Arabidopsis thaliana: one gene and its partner. The protein of the gene in region 2 interacts with the protein of the main gene of each other region in a pairwise test. Each region holds a gene or a part of one and is shown on either strand. Other genes may lie near its edges.

Evidence for each region. Proteins that work in one complex are often made in the same cells at the same time.
Region 1: the proteins of AGL61 (region 2) and AGL80 interact in binary tests that used the Arabidopsis thaliana proteins (3 or more experiments, as listed by UniProt).

The regions. Positions count from the first base shown.
Region 1 is NC_003076.8:19,738,133-19,741,656, forward strand, and holds AGL80 (AGAMOUS-like 80), read right to left. Parts: upstream 1,710-3,524; 5' UTR 1,659-1,709; coding exon 693-1,658; 3' UTR 514-692; downstream 1-513. Other genes in the region: AT5G48660 (B-cell receptor-associated protein 31-like protein), read left to right, coding at 1-195. UniProt on the Arabidopsis thaliana protein: Probable transcription factor. Controls central cell differentiation during female gametophyte development. Required for the expression of DEMETER and DD46, but not for the expression of FIS2.
Region 2 is NC_003071.7:10,579,159-10,582,572, reverse strand, and holds AGL61 (AGAMOUS-like 61), read right to left. Parts: upstream 1,505-3,414; 5' UTR 1,492-1,504; coding exon 697-1,491; 3' UTR 558-696; downstream 1-557. UniProt on the Arabidopsis thaliana protein: Probable transcription factor. Controls central cell differentiation during female gametophyte development.

The DNA.
Region 1 (3,524 bases), on a different chromosome or scaffold from region 2:
AAATTGTCATCTATTACAGAGAGACTAAAGAAAGCAGAGACTGAGTCAAAAGAGAAAGAGAAGAAACTCGAAACTGCTGAAACACATGTTACGGCGTTACAGAAACAGTCTGCAGAGCTGCTTCTAGAGTATGATAGATTGCTAGAAGATAACCAACATCTCCAAAGCCAAATCTTGGGGAAAACCAAGAGCTGATGTTAAGATTGTCTGGTGTTATTTAACAATGAGAGAGTTTATAGAGTATTGTAGTTGCAGGAATTCTTGCAACATTTTTGTTTTTAGTGTATGGATATTGAATGGTTCTTGTTTCTTCTCAAGTCTTTGGAATGTTTTTGTGACGACAATTATATCAAAATCAGCGTTGAGTATGACAAAGAAAGAGAGCTAAGATAGTTAATTTGTAACTAAAACCCGTTTGGTAAGAGCTTTTCCAAGCTTGGTTGACATATTTGTGGGGAAAAACACATATCACATGGAAAAATAAACAACAAAAATAAAAGTATCACACATCTACGACTTTAAAAGGCATAATTATTGCAAAACTATAATAGTAAAGATAACACAGTCACAAACTCACAACTTTGAGAACATAAACTGTAATGCAATTTATTACACACAAAAAAACTTAAAGCTGATCATAATTTCACTTATCAATTCATCCAAATTATTGTAATATAACATTTAACAAAAACCTAATGGAACCATGTTTTATTGGTAATACTTGAACTAGTAACAGGGATGATGCTGCTTGAGTTGGCGGCATCAAGAGCGTTGGAAGATTCGTCATGGATCTGATGTTGGTGCTCCTGTGGCTGGTGATGGATGTGGTTGTGGTGGTTATCATCCATGAATTGATATCCCATTTGCTCTGTCTGATACCTCATTTGCTCAGGATGGTTCATCATTTCCATAAACCATTCTTGATTTTGATTATAGTTCTGATTTAAATTCAGATTTAGATTTTGAGGTTGCTCATTAAGTCCAACATGTTGAGCCGCCGGATGACGAAATTGTTGAAGATCAATAGGATTAACAAAATTCGCGACAGCCGCAAATGAGGAAGAAGAACCCACCTCATAAATTGTAGTGGTGGGAGCTGTTGTAGCGACCAAATTCGGCATTGGTATATTCCCTTCAGAAGCAGCTACCGCAACAGAAGAAGATTCACCAATCTCCGTACCAGAATTTCGTAAAATCTCAATCCTGCGATTAACATCTTTAAGATATTGCTCAATCATATAACCCAAATCATTAAGATCCACAATATTCAAATGAAACATCTCCATGTTTCCAATCAAACATTGGAACATGACTTCAGTCATCTCTAGCTCCCTACTATCCTTTCTTTGTCTCCTCAAAGTTTCTGTCGCTTTCGCGATTCTTTGTTTGAGAAAACCCTCTTGATCTACCATCTTTTTGTGTTGATCCATCTCTGGGAGTGTCCTAAATTCTGAAACCACCCTTTGCACACCGGAATTTGATGGCCACACTTCAGGGTTGGTATCATACGGGCTGTAGATGATCGCACATGCAGTGATGCCACAAAGAGTCGAGAGTTCGTGTACCTTCTTCATCAAACCCTTCTTTCTTTTTTTGAAAGTCGCTTTTCTTGAAGAATCGTTGGAAATGTAAGCAAGTTTCACTTTCTTTCTTGTCATTGAAAAAATATTTCTCTTTGTTTTTTCTTTTTTATTTGTGTATTTTGTTTTGAGATTGTGAATATGTACTGTTATATATATATAGTAATGAAAGGGTACAAAATTTTGTTTCTTTTAGTAAGTGACATTTAATTTTAGATTACAGGTAGTCAAAAAATATAAAATATTTACTGCTAATAAAATTGTGTTATATAGGGTATCTTTTCTTTTATTACAAGAAAAAAATCTAAACGTCCAAATCAAGCTTAATGCATGAACATTATATTAAAAAATCTGAATGGATTTTAGATACAGATGAAAACCGTTTTTCATTTTACATGTATTAGGACTACTGGTTTGACATATGAAAATACTATTGTCCAAAAGTCATAGATAAATATTGTATTAATCTAATATGAGAATGATAATATGAAAACAATAAAATAGAATAAACAATTTTACTTTTTAACAACAATAATCAAGAAATATCAATCTAGTAATGTTATTTAATCAAAATGCATTTAGTACAATTATTTAAAAATATAATTTCAAATATTGTGATAACTAGTAGGATTTGGTATTATAAGATAGTCAAAGATTCTGTTTCAATATATTTTTGTGATTTTTTTCTTTACTGGAAACAATGAATATAGGTTATTGAATGATCTAAGCATCATAGAGTTAATCTAAAAAAATCGTTTCATAAATCTCATGCTTTTGCATAGATAGGAATTTTACAATACACACTAGATTTTAACCCGTGGTATACCGCGGGACGATTTATTTTTTAAAAGTAATATATATTAAAATTTGCAAATTTTATTTTTATAAAATATTTATATTTTATAGTTTATAATTGTTATTAAGTAACGCTATACCACGAATCCATGAGACAATTGTTAAAAAACTGAAGTTGTAACCCCTATTAAAACAACATATTAATAATATTTTAAAATTTTATAAAAATTGATTCAAATACATCCACCATATAACCCAATTCCAAAATAAAACCTGTTCTATAATTTATTTACCCGTCCTGTGATTTTTCTTTTAAAGTAATAATTTTTAAAATTTAAGAATTCTTTTTTATATATATAAGTTTTGCAAATTGTATCATTCTCTAATACATTTATAGTTTATAATTTAATTTTATATATAGTAACATTATACATACCACATAACATTTTTGGTTTTATATAATTTTTTCTAAATTAGGATGATTTGATATGTTTAATATTAGTGGTCTTAAGAAATAATAAATTAAAGATTTAACCCGTATTGAAACGGTGGATTAATTATATTTTACTTTTTTATTAATGTTGATTCAAAAACCCGTCACTCCAAATCCGTCTTGCCAAAAAGCCATTTATTTTATTAATATTAATTTTACTAATGATATGACTCTGAATTATAATTTAAATATTTTAGCTGATAACATAGGAGTAGACCATATTTATTTAATAGGGGAATGTACCATATGACCCGAATGCATTTTTACCCAAATCCACCAAAAAAGTTTTGCAAAAATACTATAAAGATAAGAAACGATAGTCGGTTTTGATAGGTATAAGATTAGCAAATATATTAGTTAGTTTAAATTAGTTAAAGAATACAAACTTAAAAGGAATATTACACTTTATTCGAATATAGTATCAAAACTTATATAACACAGAGATTTGATAATTTTTTAATTGTTGAATACTTTTTTTGTGCTAATTTTTATGTGATTAAGATTTAATTGATTTTGTATATAAAATATTAAATTGTTTTACGAACTTATTTGTTTATAATTTGGTAACAGATAAATATTTGAGTATTCAGTATATTTTGCTTCAGTTTAGGAAATCTTTGATGATCCGTCTTTAGATCCAATAAGCCCTATAATCT
Region 2 (3,414 bases):
ATTTGAACTTTCTTTCTATTCTCTTGTTGAACTTAATTACAAATGATGGGGTGAGCTTACAAAAGTTTCTAGATTATTCTACCATCATCTCGATAACTCTACTAATATATCTACATTTTTTTATCTTACAAACTCCTACTTTAAGGAGGTGATGATTTTTATGATGCTTATAGAAAAATCTAGAACTTAGGCTTAACTTTGGGTTTAGTCCAATATAGAATATTGGATTATAAACCCATGATTTAGCTTAACCCAAAATCAAGTTTAATTTCAATACGTTTGAACTCGTACCTATCAACGGGAGGTTTGGCTTGGCTGCATAACCGCATTGAGGAGGAGTGACGCTCGTTGTGTCTCTGTTTTTTTGAGTGATTACGCTCTGTTTTTGGCTGTATTGCCTGATTTGTTATCTTTCTTCATTGATTTTTCGGCCGTTAAAAAAAAACCTCTAACATGCGAGTCTTGTAAGTAAATCTTAACTTTAAGCTATATATGCATTTACCATTCAAGTAGTTCAACCTGATAACATTAATAAAGATTTGATCCCTTGACAAGTTGGCATGAATCCATTTATCTTTTCTCAATGGTGCTATAGAAACAAAAAATAATTTGAAGAAAGAAAATACAGCTAGTAAGATACTAGCCTACAAGTTATTTGCTACCAAAAAACACAAAAACCAAAAGCATTATTATGAATCAGAAACAACCATTTCCATTGGCAAAATTATAAATATTTGAGGGACCAGAAGGCATGTTCACGTAAGGAGGGACTGTCACTTTGTTGTCCAAGAAACCAAACACATCGTCTTTGGCCTCATTAAACGACGCCATGTTTGTCACAACCGTCTTCCTCAACTCCTCCAATGCATACTTCATTTCCTGTAACTGAACCATATTCATCTCCTCTACTGGCTTTTCCCACCAATTAATCATCGACCGCCTCACACTCTCTTTTCTCATCTCTTCCATCGCTTGACCCTTCTTCTTCTCTTCTTCTACCTCGCTCAAAATATGCGTTAACTGCATATTCAGTTCGCAGCTCGCTGCAGGGCTTCCTTGCAGTTGCTGCGACTGAGCTAAGGACATATTGTTTCGAGACACGTAGCGATCCAATACAGATTCAACACTTGGATGTCCGAATGAGAAAGGCTTTTTCGCGGGAGAAAACACGATGATCCCAATCTCTGCACCACACAAAGTGCAAAGCTCACTAGCTTTCTTGAAGAGACCGGCTCTGCGTTTGGAGAATGTGACTTGCCGGTGGCTCTCTTTCTTTATTTTTACCATTGGAATTTTTTGTCGTCCGATGCTTTCTTTCTTCTTCGACATCATAGTTTTTTTTGTATGGAGGGTTTTAGTTGCTTTTCTTTGTTGGAATATTTGGTGGAGAGAAAGTGTTTGTTTATATATACATGCTTGAGTCTGGTGTGGCATTATTATGAGATCAACTTGCAAAGTTGGTAATTTATTTTTATATTTTGTAACATACATTTGTAATTACTCGGCTTGCCTTTAATTTTATGGATAGATAATAAAATACAAAGATATGTGTAAGTTATAAAAATCTTAATTTGGTAATGCAATGATTTATCTTTCTTTACTTTTTATAATTGTCTTGTGTATAAATGGATGATTTTCCTAATGAGTAATTTCTTTATGTTACAAAAAGGTTGTTTTAATGAGTGAGTCTGTGTGGCATTATTATGAGATCAAATGGCAAAGTTAGTAATTTATTTTTACATTTGTAACATCCACTTGTAATTACTGGTTTTGTCTTTAATTTTGTGGATAGATAATAAAATACAAAGATTTGTGTTAGTTATAAATATTTTAATTTGGTAATGCAATGAATTTTTTTCCTTTCTTTTATAATTGTCTTTGTGTATAAATGGATGATTGTCCTGATAAGTGATTGTGTATGTTACAAAAGAGGTTGCAAATCAAAACGTTTACACATGTTAAAGTATTATCCAAATCAAAATATTGTTTTAAGTTGTTAATATCTTTTCTTGTTTTTCTATTTGATAAACATGCATTATTATACACAAATTAATATTTAAATCTTGAAAATTTGAAGTCTAATTTATAGTGTCTGACTTGGTAAATGGTTTCCGAATCAGCGAGCTCAATCGTTTGGCTGAAACTGGACCTTACAAGCCTAGGCTTTTCAATTCTACCAAACAAAAGCCTCAATATCAAGCTTACCTAACAAAACCTTGCACTCAAAAAGGATTTACGTTACAATCACGAGGGCAATAACTTTAACTAAGAAAGTGAGAACTAAGGTTTTCAACCAAGGGCTCAAGAGAAATGCAGTTCTCAACCCCAACCAACTTTATCGTCTTTGCCACACGATCAAGAGAACAAACTCCACGAAATAGGCCAAATGATCCAAAAAATACCAGTCTGACATTCAAAAGCCACATTGGAGACGACATTGAGATTTGAAAGTTTGGATACAAATTATCAAAGTCTTAGTGAGAGGGTAAATCAATGCATTGTTTGTCACGTAAGGGACTCTAGACAGACAATGTGGTCAAACAACATTGGTATGTTTAAATCTTTGGGAATTAACCCCACAAGCCTTGGCATTCGGATACCCAAACCCGATAAGTTCCTTTTTGGGTTTTGGGTCTGCGTGGGTAAGAGAGTCGAGATTCATTCGATATTTCAAAAATTCGGTGCGGATTGGGGTTCATGTATTTTAATCGAGAATTAAAAATACCCAAAATAACTATATTTTAGTTTCGGGTCAAATTTGGATGTTTTATCTATATATATACTTAAATCTACCCAAAACACATGATAGTCAAAAATACATTAATTACGTTTTACCTATATATAACCAAGTGTATCCAAAAATATTCAAATTACCTTTAAAAACTATAACATTGGTTACATTTTATCCAAATATATCCGAATTACTCAAAACTATCTAATATATTCAATTTATAATTGTAATTTTGGATATTTGGAGTATTATAAGTATAAATATAACTAATATTTTAAAGTGTATATTTATATTCGAATATTTACAGGTATTAGATTTGGTTCTGTTTTTTTTTGGGTAATTAGGTTTAGAACTCGACGTATTTTTAAAAATCGGATCTGAATCGATTCAGGTATTTTTTGGGTTTTCGGTATCGGGCATTCGGGTATTTTTTTTGGGTTTTCGGTTTCGGGCATTTGTCAAATCGGTTATATAACTACAAAGTTAAGAGTTTAACAAAAAATTATACAAAACCAAATCAAATTAAATTGAACCGAACCGTATGCGAATTGCAACCAAACGCATATAAAATGAAAAATTATAAACTGCAAACCCGGTTAATTTTCCGGGTCGGCCCGGAACCCAAGAAGTTTTCTTCTTCCTCTCTCGTCTTCTCTCCTCCGCGGGAGACTCTAAAATCATCT